Lonchura striata: one gene and its partners. The protein of the gene in region 2 purifies or fractionates together with the protein of the main gene of each other region. This does not show direct contact. Links are inferred from orthologs where the notes say so. Each region holds a gene or a part of one and is shown on either strand. Other genes may lie near its edges.

Region 1 (7,500 bases), on a different chromosome or scaffold from region 2:
GCATTAATTTCACAGCTAATTTGAGCAACTGTTTTGCCTGCCTACTTGTGGATTTTAGGAAAATACTATTTGTATCATAAGCATACAAACTGGTAATCAAAGCAGCCAGGAAATACTCTTTAGTCCACCAAAAAGGGCATGCCTGTTCATTAAAAACAATTACAGACTGACCATGCAGTCAATTGTGTCTGAAGTTCTGGAGCATTTACAGGATACGGAATGCCATTGAATCAAGTGAGCAGCTTGAAAGTAAAAATCCAAAATAAAGGAAAGATCAAAACTGGACATAAGAGAGGCATGTTTTAAAAATCAGCTGTTTCTTCATTTGGGAGAAAATGTTTCAGAAGGGGAAAGAAAAAAAGAGCTTTTAATCTGCTTTGCAAGGCTCAGAAGTATAGTGGATGACATACTGATCACCTCAACTTGCCTGGAGTTCTGCCACCGACTTCCAAAGAGCCCAGATTTCACAGACACAGTGATCAGGTAGAAGAAGAAATCTCTTTGTAGGGCAAGGTGTCCTTCATTTCCTATCTCAGTGCCAATTATTGCTATAGGCTTTCTTCACAGGTCACTAACAAAAGCATGTAAGCACATGCTTAACTTACCTCTGTTCGAAGGCCTTTTAATTAACTGCAAACACATGTCTATGTCTTTTCCTTGATAAAGCTGCTTTCCTGAATCAGTGCCTAACTGTGAATCCAACCTAGAGCTACATGAACAGTCATACTCACTTTTGTGTTGTTTTTTGATACAAGGAACAACCTTTTTATATGCAGGTATCTGGACAGTGAGTGCTTCTGTTGGCTTTGGTGATGCCGACTGCATCTAATTTGAAGAAACCTTGTAAGGACAGCTACCAGAGAGATACTGCCTGCGAGAAACGCAGCCTAAAATGAATGCTGACAGCCTTGAAGTGGAACAGACAGATGGAGACACGTTTGCCACAGTCCCAGAAAGCCCTCATTAAAAGCCAACAGGTCTGATGACTGCACAGAAAGGGGAAGAGCTGGGTGTTAAAAGGAGGCCGTGTGCTCTGTAATATGTGACTGCATCGGCACCTAGGCAGGGTTTCACCTTTTCCAAGTGGAAAGGCACACAGCGATGAAGAGCCCTACGTGGTGGAGATCTCTGCACTTGCAACCCTGCTCAGAAATTCAAAGGGGAAAAGCAGTGACTTTATTTGCTCAGCAAACATGCTGAGTAATAGCAAAACTCCCAGCCAAAGTCCTTCACACAGGGCTCGGCTGGCTCAGGAGAGCCCAGCAGGACTCGGTACAAAACGTTTGGCTGCAGGACAGGTGACAAGCAGCAGCTTTCTGTTCAGACTTGTCACCTGGCTCTGGGAGGGGAGGGAGCTGTGTGCCAGACATCCACAGCTACTTCTCCCTTCGGAACACAAAGCATTTATGGTAAGTAAACAGATTTTAGATGGGTCCTTCCACATCTGTGGACCGGAAGCTGAGCTGAGAAAGAATTCTTTGAGTCATGAACAATGCCTGGAAGCTGAAAAAAAAAGAAAAAACAACAAAAAATCCAGAGTCCTCCCTACTCTGAAGACAAAGTATTCTGCCTAAAAGCATAGGCAGGAACATTGTGTCTCCTGTAAAACACCATTTATGGTTTCATTAGGTACCTGTATCAGTCACTTTCCCATCAGTCTTAAAATTGATGGTGTTGCCAGATGGACAGCCCTAAATTAGGAAATATCCCTGTTCCTCTTGGCTGCTGGTGTATGGTAATACAATAGAAAAGCCTGGAAACAACAGTGTACAGCCCACTGGTTTACAAGAAAGTGTGGGGAAGAGGTAGCGGCGGAAACTCCTGTGTGGTCCAGCTGCCAGTCCATGCCTGGCACATCCAGCAGCCACAGGGGATCATTCATCAAAGTCCCTGTGTTTGAAGCCCATGGAGACAAGAGTGGCTGGGTCAAAACTGTATGCCCAGCCCTATTCATCAGGGAGCAGTGGAAGGCCTCAGGAACCATTTTTCTTCCCTGCCTGGGAAGACACCACACCCTCCCATTCTCCTGGGGTATATTGTCCATGTCTTGTGGCTTTTGGCCCCAAGTAGAATTAAGCACTCAGCATGGTATAACAGGACAAAAAGCTATCCCTGGACATGGCTAAAGATCAGCAAGATGCCATCCTGTAAGGGGAAAGATGCAGTACACTGGACAGTGGTGTGAGGCAGATCAGGAGGTCTCATGGTGAAGAGATGTAAAAAGGATTACAAATTGATCTGGACATCATTTGCATACCAGGAAAGGAGTCCAAAAAGCCCTAACTCCCCTCCTTAAATCAGGCAAAGCTCTTGACAAGTTTATAATGAAGATTTATCCATCAGTGTTCTACTGATATTGATATTCTGCTGATTTCTCTTAGGAGGGGATTGAGTACTTTTAATCAAGAAAACTATGATGACACCCTGGTGGCAACCAACTAAAACCCAATTTCACTAATTCCTGGAGCTGAGCCAATGAGAGAGACCAAACTTGTTGTTCTCCCTTCCTTCCTAGCTAAATTCCATTGGATTAATAGCAATCTCTGTAAAATGATAACCCACTTCACCTGCAGTAATTAAAAGAGGTTTGAGCTGCACCAGTTTCTTTGACCCATATATCCTAAATCTGGGCAATTCTTCCTTGTTAAACTAATGGCTTTGTGTGGGAGTGAGGACGACACAACATGGGCATGTTCTGTTTGCATGCAATTGCCTTTCAGCTTCCCGGTTATTTACTTGTTAGTAAGTGACGTCAGGGCATACGGGAAGCCAGGTGAGGAGAATGTTATAGCAATCTAATTGCTGACTCTTTTTACAATGGCTAGTAAAGAATCCTGCATGCATCCTAGATTTTGACCCAAGGATACTTTCACAGGTAACATGGTTTAGGGTCACAGGTCATCACAGCAGTACCTCTGGTGCCCAAGCCAGCTCTGCCATGTGAGGAAAATTAAGCAAAATGGCACACATTCCCGCTTATCCCACACATGGATAAGAGTGTGGTATCCAGATGTGGGCTCTTGGGGATGCTGCCAAGCACAGGGGAAGCCTGTCCTGAATCACTGCTCTCAGTTATTCTCATTGACAAGCTTTCCTTGTGGACACGTGAGCACCTTCTGTCATTTTACTGCCCAAATTAAGTCAGGAACCTTTGCTCGGACCCTGAATCACAATCCCTTTGAAATCTCCAAGTACAGGAACAACATTTTGCGTTCTGGCTACATCTTCCTTCTCAGGCCACCAGTTCTCCTCCAGCCTCTGTGGGTCCACAGCTCCACCTCCACGGCTGCTGTCTCCTCTCCACGCTCTGCTCATGGAATGTTCTTTCACACTCTGTCTCTTGCTGCCGTGTTTGTTGGTTCCCTAGAACACAGTGAGCAAAGTAAGAGGTCAGCTCTGCCTTTTTGGAACTTTGGCCGTTTATTTTTTTTTTATATGTTGTGGTCACGCGTCTGTGGTTTTTCCGGATGTCTCAAAACACTTGCTTTCCCTTTCCTAACTACAAGCGTAACAAACCAGTGTCCAGGGAACCGACCTTTTGGCATTAACATATTTTTCCCTATATTGTTATAGAAAAATTATTATAAAATTTATTAATTCGTATTTAACATTATAGAAATTATTATAGATTTATTTTATGAATATGTTCTTATATTATACAGCCTTCTAAAACTTCAAGCAGAACTTCTTGTAAAAACTCTTCCAATTTTTTTAGCCTCCCATCAGTTATTAGTGGTCGCGTTCGCACTTATCTTCCTGCCCTCAGTGGCAGAAACAGGAAAAGATTAAAAATTAATCTTTTAATTAGACGGAGGAAAAATTAAAGAGAAAGATTAAACAGAGAAAATCAAACAGAGACGCCCGCCCCCGCAAAAAGTCGCCGAAGACCGCAGATCCCACCCGAGATCCCCGCTCCGGGCGCGTGACGTCACAGCGCCCCTCACGCCGGGCCCCGCCCCCGGGCGCGCGCCGGGCCGGGGCCGTGTGAAGCGCACCTTTTGCACGAGTCCCGCTCGCCGCGGGCGGGGCCTGCGGGGGCGGGGCGGGAGGGGAAAGCCGGCCGGTGAGCCAATGGGGATCCGCCGTTCCCCGGCGCGTCACGCCTGGCCCCGCCCACTCCCCGTTCCAGGCGCGGGCGGGCGGAACGGGGAGGCCGCGGCCCGCTGGGCGTTAACGGGCGGGGGCGGGGCGCCGCTGTCGCGAGGGCGCGCTGGCCAATGGGGAGCGGGGCCGGGCGCGGGGGCGGGAGGGCACGGCCGGGCGGGCGGGGCGCGCCGGCCAATGGGGCGCGGGCGGGGGCGTGTCCGAGGCGGCGCTCGGGTTCCGTGTGAAAAGAGTGAGGGGGCTCGGGTGCAAAGTTTGCTCGCCCGGCGCCTGCGGAGGGAGCGGCGGCGGCGGCGGCGCGGGGGGAGCGGAGCGGAGCGGCCGCCCGAGCGCTCGGGGCTCCGACCGCCCGCCGCGCTCCTCGCGCCCCCGCCGGGGCAGCCGCGATGTGCGGGGGGATGGCGGCTCACGGTCCGGGCGGGCCGCGGTGCTGGCAGAACCGGCGGGCGCGGCTGCTGTGCATGCTGGCGCTCACCTTCTTGTTCTTCGTGGTGGAGGTGGCGGTGAGCCGCGTCACGTCGTCGCTGGCCATGCTCTCCGACTCCTTCCACATGCTCTCCGACGTGATGGCCTTGGTCGTGGCGCTGGTGGCCGTGCGCTTCGCCCAGCGCACCCGCGCCACCAAGAAGAACACGTTCGGGTGGGTGCGGGCCGAGGTGATGGGCGCCCTCGTCAACGCCGTGTTCCTCACCGCCCTCTGCTTCACCATCCTGCTGGAGGCCATCGAGCGCTTCACGGAGCCCCACGAGATCCAGCAGCCGCTGGTGGTCATCGCCGTGGGGGTGGCGGGGCTTATCATCAACCTGCTGGGGCTCTGCCTCTTCAACCACCACGGCGTCGGGGGCCACGGGCACGCCCACGGCCACGGGCACTCGCACGGCGGCCGGCAGCAGCACCCCCGCGGCGGCCCCAAGCCCGAGCAGCCTCCCGGGGACGGGGAGGCTGCGCTGAACCGCGACGAGACCAGCACCTTGGTGGAGAACTGCAGCAGCTCCAACGGAGTCAGCCAGGAGAAGCTGGGTAAGCCCCGCGGGGAAGCGCCGCTGCTCCATCCACGCGTAGAAAAGCGGGAGGGGTCGTTTCCCCGAGTGGGGCCGTGGCCGTCCTGGTCCCACCTGGTGCGGGCTCTGTCAGGACTCTGTGAGGACCATTCTGTCCCCACTCCTGGAAAAGAGGCGAGAAACTTTCTTAGCAGCTCTTGTGGCACATGGCTGTCGCACCTCTTCCTCACGCCTTTCCTTCGGATGCCCTAAGCTGCATGTTTGTCTTGTAGACAGGTCAGAGTGTAAGAGAGTCTCAGGATAAAGCAGTTTGCCCTGGGGAAAAATTTGGTTCTGCAAGGAAAGGCACATGACAAGCGTTTCTTGCCTGGCCACACGAGCTGTCACAAGACGCTCTCCTAATGCCATCCGAACTGGCTGTGCGGCTCAGTGCCTTGGTCCTGGCAGCTGGATTGCTCCATTGGGTCAGTTATCAGTTACCTGGGAAGCTACTCTCCATCTAAACCAAACACACGGAAGCGTATTCCACTGCAATAATGTTGTGTCTCTTCATAGTATCGGTATTAATAGGAAGAAGTCTTGGAAATTGCCAGTCAGAACTGTGGAAGCTGGAATGTAGAGCATGCTGGTGTCAGGGCACATGTGTGGTGTCTTGGGAATAATTTTTGTTTAGCTTTCTAAAGTATGTACCTTCCCACTGACCTGCGCACAGGCGTACGTTTAAAAATCTTCCCAATTGTGGTTAAACTGTTTCATAGGTAGGAATTTTTTGGTTTTTAGTGGATCCAGAAGCCTGGATAGTTGATTTTGAAGCTGCTTGGTCAAAGCTAAGTATTGTGTGCTAGCGGAGTGAAAGGTGTGTGTGATTGCCGCTTCTCTGTTCCTAGGGCATCCTTGTCACCAGAAGGAATGGACTTCAGGCTTTGGAACCAACTTCTTCAGTTTCAGGGTGACATCAGCAGACCATTGTTTTAGCTTAAAGGGAGCTTTAATTGGTCAGAGTGAACTTTGCTACAGTAACAGGTTTTCTGTGCTCAGAGGTTCGAATACACATTTGAGAAACTTAGTTTCTGTTTCTCCAACTCTGTGTTGGTTTTGGAAAGACAGGTTTTTCAAGAGGATAGGAAAGTTCATCTAAATACACTACACCATCTTCTTGACGATGTAATAAGCTCTTAATGTTGGTTTAGTTCCAGCAAATGTATCCTAATAATTAGGTTCAAACAATGTAAAATTACCTTAACCCTTAGTCTCATTGGCTTGGGAATTATTTAATTTAATGGTGAAAAGTTGTGCTTTTAGCCAAGTTTTGGACTAGTTAGAGAAAAAAGGTATAGCATGAATTAAAATGGATATTGTTGTGAGCTGACTTGTCTAGAATGTCTCATGGATGCACTTCTGGCAAGAGCAAATAATTTGTTGTGGGTATTTAGGTGGTAATAGGACGTAATTTTGGTCACAGTGAAACTTTGAGATAAGTTTCTATTTCCTTCATTGCCCTGTCATGATTATGTAATGGATGGAGCTACTCATAGTTTGCCTATGGAAAAGTTGGAGGTAAAGGTGATTGGAGGCTTGGGAGAAGATGTAAGATGTAGAGATAATGGCAAAGGTGATCCTGTGCCTTCACTGGAAATCACAGAGTGGGGTAGTCCTGATTTCCTGAGGCGGAAGTGAAAAGTAGGCATAGCCTTAGTGGCTAGTCCTGCACAAGAATTTCTATGGATGCACTTTATGCAAAATAATCAGTTTATTGTTACATTTTAATGAGCGTATTTCAAATGGGCATGTTTTAACCATTTGCCTTTAAAAAAAGTTCAAGAGCTTTCTGGAACTATGTTTCATGTTACCCACTTGTATAGACAGCTGTACTGACCTTTCAGATCTCCACTATTCCAAGTACTTGGTACAAAGTAGAGCGTTCCTCTTTCCTTGCTCTCATTGTGGACCTTGAGGTCTGAACTCTGTAACCCGAGATATTTCCCTCTAATTCATTTACGTCTCTGGAAAGTTACAGGTCCCATGTTCCATAACTCTTAGAGGCAGTGTGGAAAATGTAGCTGGAGCTTCAGGGCAGAAGCATACTGGATGAGGCAACGAGCTGGGGCTTGGAACTCAGCCTCGGTAGGAGCCCACTCCCTCTTCAGAGAGGAGAGCACTTGTGCGCACTCCGCAATTGCAGAATTGCAGCCACAAGGGCAGAACAGCAGAAGCTGCACGTCTTATTAACGTGTTAATGTTTACAAAGCTCTGAACTCAATAACCTCAAGGAGCAGTAAGAGCTCCTTGTTTCAGTTTGTCGGGCCAGGGGCCAGTGCCTGTTGCTTTTCTTTACCACTGGAAGTAGCCAAAAAAAAACTTTTGAAGAAAAGCAGGAGGTTAATCATGTACACTT
Region 2 (7,921 bases):
TTTTATATTAACTGCACTGATTATATAGCCAGGATATACATAAAATACAGGATCATCATAAATAAGCATTTCACACACCAGTACTATGTCAATACTAGGATATAATCAAAAGCCTCTTTTTTTGGGACTAACACCTATTTCCCACAAATCTACATTAACCATATTACTATTCTTTTTTTCTCCCCTACTACTATCCACAATGCCTGCCATTCTTTGGACTTTACAACCTTGCTTGAAGATAGTAAGTCTGTGGTTCCCTCTTTTTTTCAGGTGATACATTTCAACAGTTATCTGTTAATTTTAGTAGTGTTTTGTATTTGACGTTTTTTTTTTTAGGTTAAAACTAGAAATTTTGTTAATTCATAGACCTCCTCAGTAGTTCTAGCACTTAAAATAATCTTGCCCTGAAGATTTAAAGTAACTGAGTTTATCACAGGTGAACATGTAATCTTAAGGTGTATTTTTGAACACCTTTGTCTGAGGAGTATCAGTTTTACCAACTCCATCTTCTTGTTCCTTAACCATCGTTATTAGGACAAGCACTCAAAGAATTCCACATCAATACCTTCTGGACTCCTTAGCTCCTAGCTAAACTGTCAAATATTAAACAAGTATCACACTTGCATTTTTAGCATATAGCTTGCCTACCTTACCTTTGCTAGTTTGTCATGCACATGGTTTCTGCTTCTCCTGAAGCAGAGCAAGAGGTACAACTTTCTCTTCCAGTACATTTCAGGTGTGTTTGTGTATGATTGACAATGCTTTTCACTTACGTAGCTGAAATTTTACTGTAATTACCCCCATTCACTTTTGTTCCATACACAGACTAACACAGGCATCCAAAAAGACACACTAGTACTCATCTTTGCAAACAGCTCCATTCCAAAATTTCTGATGCTGTCACATGGTTCCCACTGAATCTTATCACTACTCCCTGATCCTACCCAGGACTACCCTAAGTTCCTTCAGCTTTCAATTATATCTCTTACTTCTTCCTTCAAGAAGAGAGGGTGCATTTTAATTTTGACCTTTTAACATACTTCTAAAATAGTCCCAGAAATGCTGAAATGTTATCAAGACCAATTAAAGTTAACACTCAGCTGCCAGGCAAAGATGGTTTTAACCAGCCCGTGACATCTTTCACTTTTGTGAACTCTGCCACACTACAGTCTTAGAATATAAAATAAATCTTTCACCTAAACCAATGAGTTTATGGTCTCAAAACAGATCTTCACACTACACATTTAATTATCTTTAAAACCTACTGAACATTCCATAGTAACACATGAAGATCTACGAGAAACTTTTCTTACTCTATTTTCAAGATGGCAATGAAAATAAGTCAAAAGGATTCCCACTGTTACAATTTCCTCAGCAGAACAAAGCAAATTAGAAGAGTCTATGGCTCTCACAAAACACCAAACATATTTACTAGCAGTCTTGTCAATGCATCTAAGTTCAGACCTGTAATTTTAAACATACATTTTGCATAGCTTGGTCACTTTTTACCATGAGTAACCACAGCACAGCTACACATCAGCAGGTCATTTAAGCCAGCAGTAGTATTGCAGAGGATGCTCCAGGGACCAACAACAGTGCTGCAACATCAGCAGAATATTGCACCTAAAGTAACAAGCTGCTTCTTCTGAGACACAGACCAGTACTGATAAAAGACAACGGCATAAGCTGTAAACATAGTCTGACTGGATATTAGAATTTCTCTCCCCACACGGACAGGCAAGCAGCAGTACAGCCTGCCTAGTCTCAGTCCTTGGGCTTTTCCAAGACAGTATAGAAAAAAATCTCTAAGCAAGCTGGACCAGCCTCAGGGCTACCTCTGTTGCAAGCAGCAGGTCAGGGGAGAATTCGTGGTGTCAACAATTTGATTTGGGTTGCATAGTGCAACTGTGTCAACTTTTGTACTTCTGTACCAGGGTGTATCGTATACATGCCATTAAGTTAGCAGCATCATTATTCCATTCACTGAAGAACTTAGTTAAGAGGTCAGGATCTTTCAGATTACTGACCTTTTCTTGTACTTTGAAAACAGTCATGCCTTTTCCATGTAACTCTCAGAGTTCTGGATTCTCTAGCAGAAAGGGAGTAAGACAGCTATTCTCACTCCGAAGTCCAAAGCTCCTGCATCCAGTATCAATATACTGTCTTTTCACAGGACCAAATACCAATTTCATCCAGGGATGTGAAAAGCGGAGGATATTTCACACCCCCTTTCTTCCATCTGCAACCATGAGCTGCTTTATTCCCGCTCTCATTCTGCTACATTGGCATCAACTTGACATAACATCCAGCTGTAACTGGAAACGTTGTGTAACTGGAAATGCATGCAAGAATTCTTCCACGATTTTAATTTTTTCCTTTATTGGGTGTGAAAACTGTACCTCCCTCGCTTTACCTTTAGCGTTAAGCACCCTGCGCTGTAGTGGATGCCGAATGCCAAGTTCAGCAGTTCCTCCAGCCACAATGCTGCACTCCCGCAGGCGCCTCGAGATATTCTGCTGCTACAGGGAGCTCGACTAAAACCTTCAAGACCCTCTTTCCCAATCAAAAAATACAGATTTTAGGGACAAACGGCCACGCGGTGTCGTGTCAGCATGCGACTCGAACCTGCTTTTTGGGATACCTCGAAAGGAGAACCAAGGCCGCTGGAGCTCCGCCCGTCGTGCACCCGCGACTCCGCGCTTCTCCCGCCCGGCCTCGGGGAAGGGGCCGAGCTCCCGAGCCCTCCCGCATCCCACCCTCGGGACCAGCCGCCGTCGTGAGGCAAGGGCGAGCCGGGGCCGCCACCGCCCGCCGGGGCCATCGCCCCTCCCCTGGCCGCACGGGATGCACACGCACCTCCCGCGGGGCTGAGCGCCCGCCGCTTCTCCCGGCCCGGTTACCGAGCACGGCGACGCCGCTCCTCCCGCAACGGGCGGTTACCGGCGGTTACCGGCGGCGCTGTCGGGCCCGCGGCGGGCGGAGCCGGGCCCGGCCGCTCGCCCCGGCGCATCCCCGGCCGCGCACGCGCGCGGCGCCCCCGCCGCTCTCGGGAGTGCGGGAGCAGGTGCCGCGGCCCGCGCCGCGCCGCGCCGGCCAATCACGGCACGCACGGCACGGGCGAGCGGAGCGTGCGGGGAAGCGGGAGACGGGCAGCAAGCTCCGCCAATCGGAAGCGCCCGGATTGAGGCCGGACCAATGCGCGGCTGGATCGCGGCTGCCGGCCCGCCCTGCGCGGGGCGCCTCAGCCAATCGCCCGCCGCCATCGGCCGGCCCCGCCCCTCCGCCTTGGCGCCGCTGAGGGGGGTTTGTTGTTATGGCCGCGGGCCGCCGCCCGCCGCCCATCCCCGCCTGCCTCCAGCCAGGGAGCGGCCAGGATAAAGAGTTTTCCAACCCGTAACCTCGAGTTAATGAAACCCTTACTTACAGCTAGACGCTCACCCTGCCGCTTGAACGTACGTGCCGCGAAGCAGAGCGAAATAAAAACATTTTAAATGAGCTACTGTGAAAAACGCCAGTCACTTGTTGTTTATTATTTTTAAAAGTTTAATAATAATAAAATGGTTATAAAAATAGTAATACAGTTAGAGTAATAAAAATTTAGAGTTAGGGCAATTACAAGACAATAGAAAGCAAAGAATTACGGACGTCCGGATATTTTTGGATGCTAAGCTGCTCTGAAAAATGCATATTTTATGATTGGCTTTTCGCAAATGTTACAATGAATATTGTATGTGTAATGTTAGAAAGTTATGCTGTATTAATTCTCTTAAGTAGTGTGTTAAATATACTTTCAGCTTACAACATAATGTTAAAATAGAAACTCTGCGATGTAGGATTTTTTTACTAGCTCAAGGGATAAGATAATCAAGAAACTCTTCGCACAGAGATAACAGCAACAGGACAAAGAGTTACAGGCCCCTTATCAGAAAAGACAAACATTCTTCTACCTTCTCTCTGTCTTCATGGAACCACCAGGATTGAGGGGAAGGAGTTGACAAAAACCAGAAGTGCCCGAGAGCATCCGGACATCCGTAATTCTTTGCTTTTTATTGTCTTGTAATTGTCCTGACTACATTTTTATTACTCTAATTGTATTACTATCTTTATAACTATTTTATTATTATTAAACTTTTAATATTTTAAAAACCAAGTGACTGGTGTTTTTCACCGCTGCCAAAAACATGTCTTGTGAACAAAGGAATAGCCCTTAAAAGCAATAGCCTGTTGAATATTCATGTATCTCATACATGATGCATAAATTCCTTGTAAATTAAGAATTTTTCTGGTTTTTGTCAACTTGTTCCCCTTAATCCTGGTAGTTCCATAAAGATGGAGTGAAGGTGGAAGAATGTTTGTCTTTTCCAATAAGGAGGCTGTAATTATATGCCCTGTCACTGTTATCCCTGTGCGAATAATTTCTTGATTATCTTATCTCTTTTCTTGAGCTAGTAAAAGATATTTTAAATCACAGAGTTTCTATTTTAACATTATGTTGTAACGTAAAACTATACTTAGCACACTACTTAAGAGAATTAATACAGCATAACTTTCTAACATTACACATATAATATTCATTGTAACATTTGCGAAAAGCCAATCATAAAATATGCATTTTTCACAGTTACTAAAGCCAAGTTTGTATCTGCCTCTTATGCTGAAGACAAATGTTGGCATGCCTTTGCAAAAATCCACAAAAATATTTAAGAGGAGAATTGGAAACACATTATTCAGAGAATTGAATAACTGTGCTTTAGTGAAAATCAAAATTGTTTGAATAAACCATTATTAATACTGAGCTGTTGAAAGTCATATGTTTCTTAACTAATTTTTAACTAGTTTCTTTAATTAATTGTAAGCAACGCCTGCTTTTAGCCAGTACTGGTTTTCTTCACAGACTCTTACTGTTACTGTGATCTTTAAATCAGTGAAACCTTAAGTTTGCTAAAACTAACCTGACAAGCTTCAATAAACAGAGCCAAAGGGAACTAAAGATTGGACAACTGGGATCTTAAGGTTGTGGCCCTTCAAGGATATTGAAGTAACCAGAAGATAGAGAGGGGATTAATATCTGAAAAGTTGGGGACTTCCCATCTAAGAAAAAAAATTATAAAAAGACTAAAAAAAGGTGCACTAAATCAGCATGAAAAGCATAGTATGAATAGAGGATAGAATACTAATTAATGAAGAGAATTATGTAACTTGGAACCAGTGAGCACTAATTCCTGTCTTTGCTAAAAATGTACAAATAAGTGACGGAGTTTTGTATCTCTGCCAGCACGAAGAACTCTGTCAGCCACACACACCTCTCAGCCAAGAATAAAGTAATGCCTTACTCCCTAACAATAAAATGGTGAGTGTTGAGGGAGTCTTATTTTTCCCAGTGTTTCTGGAGGACTTTAGTAACGGAACTAGCTTGAAAATTGTGGTTTCTTACCACACAGACATTTTAACATGACTAAGTATGTGTACAATGAGCCTGAGGTAGACCTTATTTTTGAGACTCATATTTTAAACCACATGAAATTACTGAAGTAAAATTTCCCACTCAGTGAGCCTGGTGATCTGGTTTGTAATGTGAAACTCTTCTCGGAGTGTTTTTTTCACTTACGGTTTACCACCTTTGGTTTTTAAGTTACAATCACAATGCCTAGACTTCAATAGAGTCACTTGTAAAGTCAGAGGAAGTTCCTTATTCCTGGGACCTGAACTGAAGCCTTCCTATGGGAAGGCTTCTATTGAGCCTTTGATCTGGCCTCAGAGCCACTGAGTGTGAAGGTTCAGTGCCCAGGATTATTACACAGAAAACCACAGGTGAGATCTTGCTTGCAGGATGGAAAGGAAGCTGCAGGTGTTCTGTAACCACTCCTTGGGAACACACCCAGCTCATTCCCTTGCTAGTGGTGGCTGTTGCCAAAAATGCACAGACATATTCAGCTATTGCTGAAGTATTCCTCCACTGCACTCCCTTGTTGTAAACTTCCTTGGGCTGGAATACTTGCTCTTCCTCATATTGCTTCTTCAGTGAAAATCCAGAATTCCTCTTAGGAGGTTCCTTTGATTTTATAGTGGAGCCGTGGTTCTGCAGACTGTGCAAGAAACCTCTGCTCTTGCAAAAGCACGGGGAAGAATTAATGGTTCTTGTGAAGCATTAATTATTTACAGCATCAAGTAAAACCTCATTTACATCCGAGTGATGAGAAAGGTATTCTCTGATTGCAACGGTATCAAAAACAAGCACTGAAGCACCAAGCTGGCAGCACAGAATGGAAAATTTCATTTAAAAGGTTTTTCTAAGTCCAGTAATTTCCTAATACAATTTCAGGTATTCTGATGAGCTTCTGCCGAAAGCACACTTCAACAACTAGAGAGAAATCTCATTTTGCTGTGAAAATGAGATGTTTTGGTAGCAAAATCTATTATTTTGGCATATTCTATATTTTCACTGATTTAAATAATTGCTCTGGAATTTCCTTCTTAGTGACACTGCCCTGTAACAAGTAAATGTAAGGCACCCTGAATGCAGACACTACTCCCAACAGCGAATCTGTTGCAGTGAAAGCAATGGCAAAATAAGGTTTTATGTTTTCACTGTAAGTGCAGATGAACAAAGGTATCTCCAAGTATACCTCTAAGCATGCTGGATTACTGCAGCAATTCTTAACTGGCATTAAACTCCTAACGAAGGCTGCAACAGTTGTTCCAATATATGTATGTACACATATCTACATATATAGCACCACAGTATATAAACAATCCCGTACATAAAAATTTAAAAAAATAAAGTAAAATAAACAACAAACCTCTAAGCAATATTATCAAAATATTACTAGAGGTTGTCTTTGAAGAAAGCACTCTTCTGAACTGTTTTAATGTAAAAAAATCAATCCCATCTCATTGTAAATGAAAAACACTGTGGCATTAGGAATACAACTCTACATTAATGTAACCCGTTCAACACAAATCCAAATATTGCAGTTTATTTTCTGCTGTCAGGAAGCAATGCCTGTGCAGGGGAATGAGGGTGCAGTCGTGCTTCATGTGCTAAGTAAATGATTCCAGAATTCTGACCATTAACAGGTAGATGTCAAAGGTAGATTTTAATTTCCCAAAAATTTTTCAAATGAGATTACTGTTATTTACTCTTTATTTTCAAATTTATGTTGAATTTGAACTTGTGACAAGGATTGAAATATCAGTAGATCAGATATCAGTAATATAAGATTATCAAATAACAGGATCCAAAATTGTATTTAAATATAGATTTTATTTTACAAAAATATAGTTACCATAATACCCTTATTTCCTGTAATTAATTAAATGCACAATTCACTAAGAAGTTTTACAATTTTCCAAAAAATACCCGTTTAAGTTTCAAGTTATTCAAATCATAATTTGTAGACAATTTTCATTTAAAAAATATTTAACATAACTTATATCACATTAAGGCTTAAACACATTTATATTAAGTTTGAGATAAATTTTCATAACATTAAGTTGTTCCTGTGAACTACTTTAAATACTTGCAATTAATATTGACAACATTTCCTTCAGTTCTAATTTCCCTATAAAATTGACTAGTGTTTTTAATGGAGTTGAATGCCATGTCTTTAATATTTTTCAAAAATGTCTGTATTTTTATTTCTGGTGAAACTTTTTATACCTTTATGCTTTAGTCCCTGAGGCAGGCTGTAACACCTTATCAATTGTTTATAATAACATCTATTTAATCACTTAAACTAAGGTGATAATTTTTTTATATGACATATTACTAAAGGACATTTTACAGAAATTACTAGCATTCTTTTCATATACCTTGTCATATAAAGACCTGAGATTTAACTCAACTCTTTCCTAATAGAGAGTATTAGTAACTAAATGGATATGGAATTGATCTTTTGACCCGTTCATTTGTTTGCTTGTT
Region 3 (7,762 bases), on a different chromosome or scaffold from region 2:
TTGTCCAGAGGGGAAAGCCTCAGTTTCACTAAGTACAAGGAGGGATCTCCAAGCTTGAATGAGAGAGCAGGATCCAAGGAAAGCTACAAAGCAAATCCCAAGCTGCCATGGGGGAGAAGAGGTTTGGAAATCCTGACATTTAATCACACAGTAACTAAAGGTTCGTAGATATGTCTAATAAGACAGCTATAGTGCATGTTAATAATAGATTATGAAAAAGCTTATTTATGGAGGTTTAAGCAGGCAGATGGTAGGGCCATGGTGATAAGGCTCTCCAGAGCCTTTGCTACCTCCCAGCTCCCAGGGATGCAGCAGGGATTTGCCTTCCTCTGCCTCCAGCCCCCCATGCTTAACTCTCACACAACTGCCCAAAGCAAAGCAGCAAATCCCTGCAGAGGGACTGCAGCCAGGAGAAGTTTCTTATGGGGCATTTTGGGGTGCTCAGAGCTCCTAGCCTCTCTGCAGAACAAGGATTGGGTGATGAAGTTCCATCTCAGGTGCAGTCAAGGGAAAAACCAACATCAACAGGCAGCAAGGAGGTGGTCACAGCCAGGACAGGGGTTAAAGCCACCAACAAACACCTGCCTTGGTTTTCCAGGGGGTGTCTCTCCTCCCCCAGGGCCCTGATCCTGATAGACTTGATTCTGAGAAAGCTCCCAGAAAAGGTAGAATAGGGCTGGTTTGTCTTAGTTTGGATAACAAAGGGAGAAAATGTGCATTTTGAGCCAGGAGGTGATTCACTAGCATCCCTGTTCCCGGGGCCAGGGCAGGTCCAGGGACCCCAGAGGAAAAACATCAAACAGGAATTTTGGAACAGGAAAAAGGTAACAATGAAACAAATGCAATTGTAAGTCTTGATGGGGGAGGAAAAAACCCAGACATTGCCAGGCTGTACCATGGAACTGCAGATACAGAGCCAGAGGGACAGGTCCATCCACGAGCATCAGCATCACTCTGAGCCCCCCAAAATTCTGCTTCTCCCTCGTGGATGGTGAAAATCCACCACACGGCAGTGTCCCTCTGCACACACTGGAGAGCCGAGGGCTCAGGAGCCAGAAACCTCTGCCCTGGGCACACTTGGGCACGTCAACAGGATTTTCCGGAGCATCTCAACATAGAAGCCTCAAGGGTGTTTGCACTGTCTGGGCGCTCTGGGAAAGGGCATGGCATTCTCGGGGCATTAAAAACATATGTAGGAGCAAACAAGAGAAAGAGGACAAAAAAACACAGACGAAGCCTGAAACAAGCTGAGAAGGAAAATGTAACGTTCTCGCACGTTTTATGTGCTTGGTGAAGGTGGGGTGGGGTGAACAAAAATGCCTTGGATTGGCACGGACAGCCCGGCGGAGGGAAACAAACACCGGGAAAGGCGCTGGAGGAACAGCATCAGGCACCTGAGCACCCCGAGGGCGCCGAACACTGACCCTGTCCCCCAGCAGCAGCCGGGGACATCTCTGCTCCTGACCCCCTTCCCCGAGCTCATCCCTTCTCCCAGCACCTCCCGAGCCCCGGCGACCGTTAACGGGCGGGGGCTGCCCCGACCCCGACCCCAGCCCAGGAACGGCGTCTGCTCGGCTGTTCCCATTCACTCGACCGAGACAGCACCGCCGCGTCGGGTCAGGGTCACCCGAGCCACCTCCTGCCAGCGCGCTTGGGGGGCCCCCGTCCCTCCTGCCTGGCCCAGCTGGTCCCCGCAGCCGGCAGCCGCCTCCCCCAGCCCCCCCAAGCAGTCCGAGTGCCCCCGGAGACGCCTCCAACCCCAGTCCAGTGCTCCCTGGCAGTCCCAACCTCCCAAGTGGAAGCTACAAACCCAAATATTTTATTTGCTTCATTGCTGCTGACGAAGTCAGAGCCGAGCGCAAAGAGCTTCCGCATGATTCCGGCAGGAGCGCCGGGCAGCAGCACGGCTGTGTGTCCCCAGCGCCAGAACACAGCCCGGGAGCACGGGCAGGGAGCCCGGAGCAGCTGCCGAGTTCTCGGGGCGCAACACAGAGAAGCAGAGGGGCACCTTGCGATGCACCCAATCATTTGGGTTGGGAAACATCACTGAGTCCAGCCATGCCGCTAGCACATCCCCAAGTGCCACATTCACCTTTCCTGGCAGGGAAGGCAAAAAGCGGAGGGAAATACCTGAGCATGCACAGCCTCCTGTCCCCGGGCCCAGCGCGGAGCGCTGCGAGCCGGGCGCCTCGTGGCCACGGGCTTCCAGCAGGAAAAGGCTCCTGCTGCAAAGAGCCCAGGGAGGAGAGACGGAGCTGCCAAAGGCCGCTGCTGGAAGCTGGTCCCCATCCCAGCCTGCTGGCACCACAGAAGCCTCTGCACCCCTCACTTTGGGGGGCCAGCCAGTGCCTCCCAAGCCCACCCAGGTCCCCTCCGTGACAAGCACAACGGGCCGCAAGGACAGCTTAGTCACTGCGAAACCTTCATGAACTACAAGAAGTTTGAGGGCTGCAGGAAGGAGCAAAGAGCACCCTAAGTTCGTGGTGGGCTATGACCAGGACACCCCACTTCCTCCCTGTGCCTTACTTGTAGAAGGGACCATCTGCACCCCTTCTTCGCAAAGGCACAGCTAGAAAACCCCCATCTTCTGAACATATCCACCGAGACAAGCTGCGCGTCCTCCCCAGCGGCCCAGAGCACATGCAAACGGTTTAAATATTTTTTCCCAGCCCTGCCCACTGTGCAGCCCCAGCAACCTCCCCACAGCCGGCCAAGCCACATCTGCAGAACCAAACAGCAGATCCAGGTGAAAAGCAGCCTGCAGTGCAGCAGGGGGGCTGGCAGAAGACCCCTTACCTCCAGCTGGACACAATCCCTTCAGCTCCACTGAGGAGCTGAGCCTGCTCTGCATCGGCCAGGGAAATGGAGCAAACATACTCCTGGTTTACACCCGGAGCAGGCTCGATCCTGCCCTTCACCAATGCTGTTCTGCAGGGAAGCGACCCCACCAAGGGAAAAGGGTTTGCTTAGGAGGAGACCCTCCCCACAAAGCCACCCCAGTCCCCAGTGCATCCCCACCACTGCCCCTCACGGGTTGCAGCAGCTCAGCCCTGAGAGCCAACAGAGCACCGCACACCAGGGCTGCGGAGCAGCAAACCCCAAATCCCCCTCCGAAACCCGGGGGGCGGGGGGCTGAGGCCCCTTGCTCCATCGGAGCACTGAACCGCGCACCAGCTCCGTGCCTCAGTTTCCCTATCGCCCCCTGCTGAGTCCCGAAGCTCAGAGCAGCAGCTCCCGCAGCACACAACCTCTCCCCACAATACACAAACCAATTCCCTCCCCATTTCCCCCACCCTGCATGAGCCGGGGAGCCTCAACAGCTTCACAGCCCCCCACCCATCGTCTCTCCATCCCCCACCGCACGGGTCAGCCGCCGCTTGTTTTCTGCTGATGGTTGTCACTATTTATAATCTTTGGAGAAATGCCACTACCCAAAAAAACAAAATCAATGCATCACCACGGGGACTGCGTGCAGGTGAACAGCTTGGATTTAAAAGTAAAAACCCAAAGAACTAGGTAAAAATACACTTTAATGAGATCAGGGACCCCTTGGGGTAAGGCACCAACTCCCGTGGCTCCTTTTCCCCAAAAAAAGCGATCGCAGCCCCCGGTAGCACCTCGGGAGCCCCAAATTCCCATTCCCCGCAGCATCAAACCTCATTCCAGCTTCCCGAAGGGACTGGGAGCGAGTCGTCGTCGTCCCACACCCCGCACCAGCTCTCGCCGTAACCCCGGCTGGGGGGTCCCGGGCCCGCAGGGCGCAGCGCCGAGGTGCTCAGGGGGAGGAGGGGAAAACTTAAAATCTGCAAATTAATCGATCGATCGTACCTCCGTACAACTCCCCCAGTGCCCCCCAGCAAAACGAGAGCCAGGACGCTGCGACCGGAGCCGCCGCGGCCGCCACCTGTTCCCACCAAAGGGTCCCCAGCTTCCCGTCGCGGCCGCCGGTGAACCACCGGGATCCCGCCGACCCCCGGGCACCGGCCTGAGGGCTCCTCTCGGTCGCGTTCCCCAGGCTGCCACCAGCGGAAGTTTTCCCTCCCGAGGTGCGGCACGGGGGGGTCGGGGGTCGGACGGCGGCCCCGGTACCGGGAGCGAGCAGGAGCCGTGGCGGTTCGGGAACCCTCCACTGGAAACAGGTGGCTGCGGGACGGGCGGGACCCTCCGAGCACCGGGGTCGGTGGAGTCTCGGAACCGCACCGAGCGGCGCACACACCGCGCTCCGTTCCTACCGGCGGGCGTCTCGGTGTCCAGCGCGTAGACCCGCAGGGCGAGGGCGAGCAGCAGCGCCCGGGCGCTCCGCATGGTGCGGCGGTGCCGGGACCGGGCGGGGGGCGGCGGGGCCGTGGCCGCCGCCGCCGCTGCGCGCCCGCGGTTCCGGCGCGGCGGGGGCGCAGCGGGGCCCCCGTGCCCGCCCCGCGCCTCAAATACCGGCGGCGGCGGCTCGCGCCGCCCTGACGTCACCGCTGCCCGCGGGGGGCGCGGGGGGGGGCGCCGGTACCGGGAACGGCAGCGGTGGGCGCGGCGGCGGCGCCCCCTGGCGGACACGAGCGGTGGTGCCGCGGGGGAAGTTTGGGAGCAGCGCAGGGGGGGCGGTCCCGGGAGTTACGGGGGGACTGACGGGGTTCTCTGGTACCGGGGGACAGGAGAGGTGGAAAGGGGTCCCGGGAGCTGGGGACGACGGGCGGCGCTCGGTCAAGGCAGGAGGTTCTCCCGTACTGGGGGGGTGCGGGGAGAGGGGCGGTCCCGAGAGTTTCGAGGAGGGGGGGAGGCCTCCTGTACCGGGGGGTGGGAGGAGGGGAATATCCGGTACCGGGAGAGAGGGGGAGGAAGTCCCAGGAGAGGCGGGGAATGGGGGTCCCGGGAATTACGGGCTGGGGGAGGTGCCGGGGCAGAGCCGCTTGGTCTGCCCGGGAGCGGCTCTTGCTTGCGGGGTGGGGCAGGAGAGGACCCCGCAAGGGTGCGGAGAAAGCACGGGGGTCCCCGGCTGCAGGGAGCTCCCGGTGCGCGGAGAACTCCTGTTGCTGCGGTGTCTCCTGTTGCAGCGGGGGGGATCCGGCTGCAGGAGGAAAGAGAGGTTCCCTGCGGGCAGGAGGCTGCCAGGCTTTGAGGGGCGTCCCTGGTTTTCTGGGTATGCAGGGATGTAGGAATGTAGGGATAGTCCCCAGCTTGCGGGGAGCCTGCCTTCCGGAGGGCCCCCACGACCCCCCAAATGCAGGAGGTGTCCTCAGGGGTCCCAGTTTTAGGGTCTCCACCAAGCTGGAGTGAATCCTGCAGGTTTCCAGTTGTAGGACAGGTGCTGGGAGGAGGCTGGGACAGAGGGAGGTGATGGTGACACCTACTGTGAGGTGGGTTCCCCCAGTCCTCGAGTGCCCCCATCACCCCTTGGCCGTGCCCAAGGCTGTGGGGCAGAGACAAGACCCTGCGGGTAGACTTTGGGGACAGAGCCTCCTGCCCATCCAAGGGTGTTCTCTGACCCTGAAACCCCCCTGGTCCTCTCCCACAGGCTGGATGTCCTTGAGGGACAGGGATGCTTAGCTCGGCAGGATGGTGACAGGGAAAGCCAGACAAGGCTGTATGGGAGTGGCAGTGGCTCCTGAGACCCCGGTGACACCCAGCAAAGCCACTATCCCCCGGGGTGGGAAGGGGGTGAGAGAGGGAGGTGCAGGATCTAACTCAGAGTGAGCAGAAAGGAGAAAAACCTGGAAGGATGTAAAAGGAGGAAAATCTCTGTCCCTTTCCCAGCTGAGTACACAGGATCAGCCCTCGTGTCCCTGCCAGCAATGCCAGGGGGGATGAAAGGCCCTCTTGTTTGTTGACATCCTCTCCAGCCCTATTTCTGGAGGAAAATGTTTTCCCAAAGGTTTGGTGTGAGGAGGAGGGGAACTTTGCTTCAGCTTTCCAGCGTGGTCCATGCTTAGATCACCTAGCCCTGGCTGTGGCTCCAGGGTGGGAATCTGCCTGGGCATAGGAAAACTTGGAAAGCAGAGGGAACAACGCTGAAAATACTGGGACTTCTTATTCCAAATCACACAGGGAGAGTCCCTGGCAGTGGCATCACCCTGCGATGATTCAGCCTTGTCCTGAAAGACAGCACCCAGTTGCCAGCATCCAGCAGGGTGACAGAGGGACAGGGGATGGTACCTGGTGTTACTGAGCCCGGTGAACCCACTGGGAAGTTCCCAGCCCCAGAAGCAGGACAACACTGCCTGCCAGCTTCATCCAAGTTCAGCTCATCCCTCGGGATACTGCTGTGCTGCTTCTCCTTATGGGCTGGCTTCATTATCTGGGGACACTGCACAGCCCTGGGGACACTGCACTGACATGGGGCACTGCACAGCCCTGGGCACACTACACAGCCTTGGGGACACTGCAGAGCCCCCTCCTGGCCCCCTCCTCCCTAGGACAGGGGTTCAGCACATCTGGGGTCACCTCAGAGCTACCAGCCCCAAGTACTCCTGGCAGTGTCCCCGGTGTCACCCCTGCCTGTGCCATGGGGGTACAAAACGTTTCTCTTCCATTCCCAGTTGCCGCCAGTTGCTCCCAGCAGCACCCCCAGCAGGTTAGCACCATGGTGACACTTCTTGCAGGGATGCATCCGTCCCCATGGATCTGGGGATAAACCAGACCAGTACCGTGTGTCCCCCAGCCAGGACAGTACATCTGGGGTGAGGGCAGAGGGTGATGGACACTCCTCTCCAAGTTACAAATCCTCTCCCCAGTGACACTAAAAGCCTGTTAAAATAATGCCCGATAAGGGAATTAAGCTGCTTAGATGTGTGGCAGCAAAAGCAGAAGAGGGCTGGCACAGTGCAGGCTGGTACAGTGCAGAGGAGGGCACTCTGCAGGGTCCCCCTGGAGTTTTTTGGAGAAAAATCCCCCAAAATCCTTCTGGGAAGAGGCGCTGGAGGGCTGGACTGGGGGATAGTCTCTGCCCAGACTGGGGAGGAATCTGGGGGGGTCTTGACCTAGCAGCTGAACTGAAAATGTTCGGGTGGGGGGTAAATGCAGCCAAGTGTAAGCAGGAGCAGGATATTCCCAGGATTCTGAGGGAATCAGGCAGGAAACCAGAAGTTTTTAAGCTGCACAAGCCAGTTGGAGCACTGCACTGCTTTCCACCACCTTTTAAACCCCTGAATTGTATTTCCAAACCAATCACTTCAAAAAAAAATAAAAAGGGTTTTGTTGCATCCAGCGTATCACAACAGAACTGTTCCCCATTCCCTGTGGGTCACTCTCCTGCTCCAACAGCCCCACAGCCCATCCGTGCCACCTCCTCGGGTGAGCCCTGGGGTTCATCTGGTGCCACTCCCGTGCTTCAAGGATCATCAATGCACCAGGACCTGCCACGGGCTGAGGGCACGGCACGAATGTAGCGGGAGCGGAGCGGGACGGGCACAGGGGCTCCACAAAAGCTCCTTGTCCCCGCAAAGGGCTGGCACTGGCCCAGGGCGGGAGGGCGGCACCTCCCAGGGGCTCCTCCGCTGGGGAAGGGCTTTGGGGGAGCCTCCCGGGACGATGGAGCTGGGTGTGGGGAAGGATGCATGGAGGAATGCGTGGACAGCGTGCATTCATGTGTGACCAGGTTTGGAGACACGCAGGAATTGTCCCCAGGGCTCTGCATGAGGACAGTTGCTCCTCCAGCACATCCAGCTCAATCCCACCTGTCCAACAGGGCTGAAAGGGAGGAAAGTTTGGCCAAGGATCCATCACTGCTTCTCCAAGCTGCTTGGCATCTACAGGGCCAGGGTTGCAGACAGGG
Region 4 (7,266 bases), on a different chromosome or scaffold from region 2:
GGAGTTGAGAAGCTGAAGGCAAAGCCGGCAAATTAACTGGGTTCTTTTATGCAAAGTGCACAAGATTATTTTCATTGCCATTTCTCCTGACTTCATTAAAAATAACAAAAGCCCATGGGCTTTTTTTTTTTTTTAAGGTGCTGTTGAACATTTCCGAGGTAATGTTTTAAATGAAGACTAATATATTACCAAACCCAGCACTTAACAACAATGAAAGCAGACGGGATCCCCAGGCAAGCATTAATCTGGACACCAAAAGGAAAGAAAAATGTAACAACTGAAGACATCCTGACAACAAGCAGTTTAGACACACACAATCCACAGGTCAAGTGGGAACAAGTAGAAGGAAACTAAACTTCTAGAGAAGCTCCTGCACATCCACCATCAGACTCTGAGAAGAACTGAAACAAAATTGTTCAATTAATCACCCTAAATGCTGAGCATCTCAAATGTGGGAACTTCATTTTAAACACTGAAATGAATCTTAAGAGCTACTAAGCACCTATTGTCTATCACTGAAATTACTCCAGACAGTTTCCAGCTCTTGAACATCAGCTCTGAGCTGACAGTGTGATGTGCACGACAGAAATCCACCTGGAGCAAGAGCTTATAACTTCCAGTAAAAATAAAGACCAGAAACTGATGTGCTTTGCCAAAAGAGAGATAAGCCCAAGTTTTGACTTCGTTGTTGGGTTTTTACAAACAGAAAAAGACAAGCTTTTGCAAATTGCTTCTCTTGTTCAGATTTCAGGGTCTGTTTTGCAGCCCCTTCCACATTTTCAGTGAAATTCCTTGGGGCTAAAACCATCGCAGGGAGATAGGGACAGGGACACCTCCTCTCTTCCCTGCAGATTTCAAGTTGTCACAGTAAAACAACAGCATCTCACCTTGGAATGAATTCCTTGGGAATTACACATCCCTTTTCCTATGGCACCTGCCAGTACCTGAGAAGTAAATGCCAAAAGCCTTGACACTGAGGAAAACTTGGGATTTTCTGCATGATCAGAGAGGTGACATTACTGATTTCAGCAATTCCCTAAGCACAGTCTGCAGAAGAACAGACAGAAAAGGTGCATTTTATGGATCAGCAGGAGACTGAAACAACCCAGGCTGTGCTCTGAGAATAAAGTGAGCACTTAGATACATCAGGGAGAGAGGACAATCAAGAGGAAGAAATGTCCAGGAGAAGAAGAACAAGGTGTGAGAGCATGAAAGGAATAGAAAGTTGCATGTCAGGAGTTCTGGGGCACTCCACACAGCAGGAGAGAGAAGACCTTCCATGCTGGAAGCATGTCCTCCCACAGCACAGCTCCTGTCCCAGGAGGTCACCATCCCCACCCTGGGCAGGAGGCCAGAAACATCTGAACCCCCCGAGCAGTGGCTGGATGGAATGTGAAAATGCAGAGCATTATTTCGTGCCTGTGTGCTGACACAAGTGCCTCCACCCCTTCATTTGGAAGGAGACTTCCAATTAATTGAAACTTGGGATCACAAAAGCCAGTGGCCCAAACAGGTCAAGTCACAGCCTTCAGATCAAAGCTTTCTGCTGGGTGGGAGATTCAGCCACATCTGCCTGTGTGGCCACACTTCACCCCCAGCCAACAAGGGCCACACAGAGGACACACTAACTACAGCACGCAACAGGAGATGCCTTCTCAATCCTAAATTCCTAAAATCATCCCTAGATACAGATCCACGGCCATGTTAATCATTCCCCAGCACACCTCCCAGTCCTACTTTGGCTGAACTCAAAGTCATGCCAGATAACCCAGGGAGAGCCATACATGGCCCCATCATACCCTGGGGTTCAGGCCACCTCACGAGGCCATGTCACCTCAGTAAATCACAGGCCACCATTAAAACCCAAATGTCTACAGCCCCACTGCACTGACCCACAGCCTTGCTTCACTTCCTCTGGGAATACACAAGGGGTTCCTCTCCAAGAGGTCCTGTCACAGTGGGAGGAAAAGGTAGAGGGTTGTGCACTCAGGTCCCCAGGCAGCAGGATAGAAGGCTGCTGGCTCTGCAGGCCCTGAGCATGCCAAAGCTTGGGAGAATCCCCTAAATGGCCTCTCCAGTCTTCTTGGGTAGCTTCTGGAAATCTGGATGCTCTAAACACATCTTGGAATCACAGCCTCTAGCCCCAGGATGTGGGATCACAGAATCACTGAATGATTTGGGTCAGGGGACCGTGATGATCATCCAGCTCCAACCCCCCTGCCATGGGCAGGGAACCTTCCACTAGACCAGGTTGCTCAGAACCCCATCCAGCCCGGGATGTGAGGCTCCTGACCAGTGCAACCACTGGTCTGTGCTGCCCCAAGTCCCCACTCTCAACCCGGAGCAGGTAAGTGGGACCTGCCAGTGCTTGGTGACGTGGTAGCCCATGACCCTGCCAGCTTCACCCCGTGAGGCCGTCTGGAAAAACCCAACCGGTTCCCCACTGCCAGCCATTTGAGAGCACCTCTGCCTTGGAGAGCTCTCCATATCTAAGGTTTGGAAAACAACCAACCCTCCGTTCAGCAGCACCCAGATAAGGCTGAGCGCAGCAGCACGGGGCTGTCCCGGTGACACAGCACCCACGGGGGGATGTGTCGTGTCCCCCCGCAGCCCCTCGGCAGGCACCGAGCGGGAGAACCATGCTTTTGGTGCTGCCGCGGCAGTGGGCGGTGGGGCAGGCAGCCAGAGCCGGGGCTGGCCGGGACCTGGCTCCCGGCGCCCGGGGCAGGCACCGCTCACCGTAGATCATGGCCAGCCCGGTCTCGTGGAGGAAGCGAGCGCGGCGGTGCTTGAAGAGCCAGATGGTGAGGATGGTGAGGGTGAGCAGCAGGATGAAGACGAGCAGGTTGGCGCTGTCCTGGCGGTGACTCTCCTCCGCCGCCTTCTCGGACACGATCTCCTCCTCCAGCGCCCCGGGACGCGCCGCCGCCACCTCGGCGGCCGCCGCGCCCCGCGCCCACAGCCCCGCGGCCGCCGCCAGCACCGGCCCCGGCCCCGCCATCGCCCCGGCACCGGCCCGGCCCCGCCGCCACCAGGAAGCGGCTCTGGGCGCAGGCGCCGGGGGCGGGAACAGCGCCGGGAGCCCGGATAGGGACGGGCCGGGGCGAGCGGGGGGAAAGGGGCCGGGGCTGCCCTGAACGAGTCCCGGGAGCGGGATGCGCGGCACGGAGAAGGGGAGCGGGGCTCACAGGGGGTTGTAGAGGGAGGGAGACCCCCAGGCAGACTTGGAGCGGGGTACTTCAGCGCGGCCGCGCGCAGCAGCGGGGCTTGTTTGTGCGCAGCGTGCTTTGGAGGGATGTCCTGCAGGACACTCCCCAGGGCCCAGGGGGAGACGGGGTCCAGGAGGATCCTGGTCGTGCCTTCACACCGTGCCAAGGCATGTGTTTGGTGCCAAGAGCCGCCGGCAGCCCCCAAGTGGGATCGGGTAAACTTCCCACCTTTTTTACCAAGACACGGAGGGGGGATGCGCGGTGCCGGTGAGTCAAGGGTTGTAATAAATGCCAATGATCAACTTAAAGGTGACTTGTAGAAAAGGTCCTCAAAGAATTGCCTTTGTGCCTTGGGGGCACGGAAGACCCAGGATGCTTGACTGTGTGGTGTTTCCTTGCTTTGCCCCAAGCCTGGCTCGGCCAGGGGCGTCCCTCCTACACGTTGTGTGCGTGCCTTTGCCCCGTTTTTTCTTGCACCGGTTTCTCAAGCTTTGAGGTTAAACGCGTGTAAAATGTGAATTAACTCGGGTACCACTGGCTCTACGCTCTGATTTCGGCCTTAAGGGATCCGGCCTGGCCCGGTGGAGCGAAGGGGCCTGTTCGGGGAGGTCCACGGGCCCCTTGTCCCTCAACCGCCCCCCGGGAACCATCCCGGGTTCACACACCGCTCGGAATTTATCAATGGCCCCGCGTGGGAAAGCGGCGGCCTGGCCCCGCCCCCTCCGCGCGCCGGGGCGCGGCCTGGCCCCGCCCCCTCGGTGACGCCATCACGGCGCGCCGGGGCGCCCTGGCGGCGGCGGGCGGCGATGGCGGCGGGGTCGGTGTGGAAGGGGCTGGTGGGGCTCGGCCTGTTCGCCCTGGCACACGCGGCCTTCTCGGCGGCGCAGCGTGAGTCACGGCCGGGGGGGCGCCCCGGGGCACCGGCGCCTCCGCACGGCCGACGGGGAGCGCGCGGGGCGGGGGCCGGGCCGGGCCGGCAGCATCATCATCGTCCCGAGCCGCGAGCCCGGCGGCGGGGGCGGCCCTGCCCGTGGGGCCGGGAGGAGCGCGGGGGAACGGAGGGGAAAACGAAGGGTGGGAAGGGGGAGCTGCCGCCCGCCGGGTCGCGGCTCCGGCCTGGCCTCTCCCGGCCGCCTGCGGCAGGCCCAGCCGTGCCCCGGAGCAGCGGCACCGGGGCGGCCCCGCTGCCCGGGGAGGGCCGGGCTGACGCGTGTTTTGCAGCCGTTTTTCTGGGGTTTCGCCTTGCCGGGCTGTTTATTTGCGTGCACGGAGTTTTTGATGCGTGCGTGTGTTTCTGTTTTGTAGATCGTTCTTACATGAGGTTGACAGAAAAGGAAGATGAAACGTTGCCCATAGATGTAAGTTTTTGTGTGTGCAAGGTGTAACTGGGGTGGTTTAGTCTCTCAGTTGCTTCCTTTTAATGTGCTAGGCAAGCATAAAGTATAAAGTAGTTTTTAATCACTGGAGCTGGCACTGTCAAAAAGAACCACATTTTTCATTTTCATCCCAACTTCCTGAGCATGTTGTAGTTGTTAGTGAAACCCCAAACCCCAGATCCAGGCCTCCCTCTCTTTTAGAACTACCCTGGAGCATCCTGTCCAGGATCCCCTGAACGTAGCTCAGAGAGCTTTTGCATCCATCACCTCCTGTGCAGCATAAACACCCTGCACCCTCTGGCGCTGGGTGGCTGACATGTTTATCCAGTGTGGCTGTTTGATCCCAGCACAGCCTGCTTCAGGAAGGGAGCTTTTATTTGCTTTATTTGCTTGCTTTTCAAATTTCCACTTCAGTTATCTGTTCCCTCTCTCCTTAATCAGAAGGGCAGGGAGATCAGGTGCCCGGGAGAGCCAGGCACAGTGCCTAGCCCAGGGCTCCACAGTGTTCCTGGCAGGAATTTGGTCCTGGAGAGCAGAGAACAGAGTGTTTGGTCTCAGGCTCTTGCTGAGGAGCTCTGTGAGTCAATTCAGTTGGTGTAACCCAGACCTGTGCTGGAGCAGCTGGAGCTCTGCTGTGCAAATAGGAGAGAATTTTAATTCTTCCATGCCTCAGTTTCCCCACTGCTGGAATGCCCCCTCTGTTTGCTGTCACTGGATGAAAAGCACCAGAGATACTGTGTGAAAGCTGAGATGTTTTGGTAAATGTGCAGAACACCGGGTAATGTGTGTGTTGCACTGTGCTCCCTCTGTTGCAGATAGTCCTGCAGACTCTGCTGGCCTTTGCAGTCACCTGCTATGGGATAGCACATATTGCAGGAGAGTTTAAAGACATGGATGCCACTTCAGAACTCAAAAATAAGTATGTTTGATTTCTTCTTTTTGTACACACGGGTATCTGCTTCTCTGTACAAACTGAAATTGCTCATCTTTAGCTCAGTCCTTCAATGCGTGCTGTAGGCAGCCACCCAAGGGGAGCAGCCACGCTTGCAAAAGCCAACAAAGTCTTGAGTTTAAGGGAGAATTAGATAACAGGCAGAAATCAAACTTCTTGCTTTTCCTCGTCTGAAATCCTGCTGTGCAGACTTGGTACGGGCATGAAGTGTGCAGGTGGGAAGTAGAGCTCAGGAGCCACCACCTGCTGTCATGACATGGTCTCAGACTGCACGTCTGAGTCACTTGAGTCTCACTCAGTATATTCAAGGCAGGACATCTGTAAGACTTTTAAGAAAATAAAGGATTTTGGGCCAAAATTTTGAGGAGGATAGTTGTTTACAGCATGCCAAGGTCATAGGTTCAACTGCTTTATGAGCTGTTCAGTTTGGAGTTGGACTCAATGATCCTTGTGGGTCCCTTCCTACTCAGAATATTCTGTGATTCTGACAGGAAATTGGATGGGCAGATGTTGTCTCTCTGGCCATTTCCAAAACCACAGGGGAGTATGGGAATTGAAAAAGTTGACATAATTGTATTTCAGCCTTTAGTGTGAGGCTCCCAGGGGGATGGAAAGCTGAGCAGTATCAGGGTGTTAACACAAGTGAGAGCTGAACAAAGGCTGGCATGTGATGTCTGCAGCAGCAGCCACAGGCTGCTCCTGAGCCCCGGAAAGGAAGGGGAAGTTGGTGACGTGGACATCTTGTGGTCTTTTTCACAACTGTGTATTTCCTCATTGTTCAGTTTAGGAAACTTAAAAGCAAGCAAGAGTTTGGATTGAAAACTTGTATTTTTGTGTCTAAAGTCAATACGCCCCAGACTGACTGTTCTAAACTCCCTGCTCTGAAAGAGTATTAACCTTGGCTTTTTGCATTTATTTTGAAGGACATTTGACACATTAAGGAACCACCCATCTTTTTATGTATTTAATCATCGTGGTAGAGTATTGTTCCAGTCCCCAGACACAGTGAATTCTTCTTCAAACCAAGATGCTTTGTCATCCAGCTCGGCACTGAAATTTCGAAAACTTGAACCTCTGCGCCGCTAAGACTTTTACAGATGATACCAATAACCCAGGACACTGAGATGTAATATTGAAGTCGGGGATGTAAACACTTTTTTTAATTTCTGGAGCAGTATTTATATTGATCTTCCAGACTTTATAAAATATATATATATATAAATATATATATATAAACTAATGACCTTCTTTGTACACTGTTAATGAGAATGACTGAATTGTGGATTGGCAATGCAGTGTAAATTCTACAGTTATGCTGTGAAACACATCTTCAAAGTTTCAGATATTAAAACGAGTTGCGGCTAACTTAACTTCAGTTAAAACAAAAAGCAAGCTAGTTTTTCCTGCAACTGATGTTCTTTGACAGGAGGGACTGTTTGAGTGTATTTATTTTCTCAGTTTGCTTGCACTACAGTCTACGGATCCCCTCAGAAATGCTGTGTGCACTGCATCACTGAACAGCAGGAAAAGGGGCAGCACCTGATCCTAGAATGCCTGTGGGACACCAGCACGGTGTGGCAGGGGGAGTCAAAGTGATTGCTTTCATTGTTATTTTTTTATAATGCTGAAAAACAGTTGTGTGAAGGGTTATTCTTTTTTTCCTGGTTTCTCACTACCACGTTACTTCCTCGTTGCCCTCCTTTGTTCCACGTGAGTTGCCCCAGGTTCC

What was found.
Region 1: the proteins of CLGN (region 2) and SLC30A1 purify together in Homo sapiens (co-immunoprecipitation; 3 studies listed by BioGRID and IntAct, with this or other methods). This does not show direct contact. The link is inferred for Lonchura striata from reciprocal best matches to the Homo sapiens genes CLGN and SLC30A1.
Region 3: the proteins of CLGN (region 2) and PTPRU purify together in Homo sapiens (affinity purification with mass spectrometry; 3 studies listed by BioGRID and IntAct, with this or other methods). This does not show direct contact. The link is inferred for Lonchura striata from reciprocal best matches to the Homo sapiens genes CLGN and PTPRU.
Region 4: the proteins of CLGN (region 2) and SLC9A6 purify together in Homo sapiens (co-immunoprecipitation; 3 studies listed by BioGRID and IntAct, with this or other methods). This does not show direct contact. The link is inferred for Lonchura striata from reciprocal best matches to the Homo sapiens genes CLGN and SLC9A6.

What each region holds. Positions count from the first base shown.
Region 1 is NC_134605.1:12,215,772-12,223,271, forward strand, and holds the start of SLC30A1 (proton-coupled zinc antiporter SLC30A1), read left to right. Parts: upstream 1-4,490; coding exon 4,491-5,124; intron 5,125-7,500. UniProt on the Homo sapiens protein: Zinc ion:proton antiporter that could function at the plasma membrane mediating zinc efflux from cells against its electrochemical gradient protecting them from intracellular zinc accumulation and toxicity.
Region 2 is NC_134606.1:65,813,363-65,821,283, reverse strand, and holds the start of CLGN (calmegin), read right to left. Parts: upstream 3,014-7,921; 5' UTR 2,857-3,013; intron 2,726-2,856; exon of another isoform or gene 2,642-2,725; intron 1-2,641. UniProt on the Homo sapiens protein: Functions during spermatogenesis as a chaperone for a range of client proteins that are important for sperm adhesion onto the egg zona pellucida and for subsequent penetration of the zona pellucida.
Region 3 is NC_134628.1:7,632,028-7,639,789, forward strand, and holds the start of PTPRU (receptor-type tyrosine-protein phosphatase U), read right to left. Parts: upstream 3,011-7,762; 5' UTR 2,876-3,010; coding exon 2,797-2,875; intron 1-2,796.
Region 4 is NC_134616.1:6,717,379-6,724,644, forward strand, and holds the start of SLC9A6 (sodium/hydrogen exchanger 6), read right to left. Parts: upstream 3,002-7,266; coding exon 2,740-3,001; intron 1-2,739. Other genes in the region: MMGT1 (ER membrane protein complex subunit 5), read left to right, coding at 4,016-4,097, 4,515-4,567, 5,401-5,504, 6,461-6,623. UniProt on the Homo sapiens protein: Endosomal Na(+), K(+)/H(+) antiporter. Mediates the electroneutral exchange of endosomal luminal H(+) for a cytosolic Na(+) or K(+).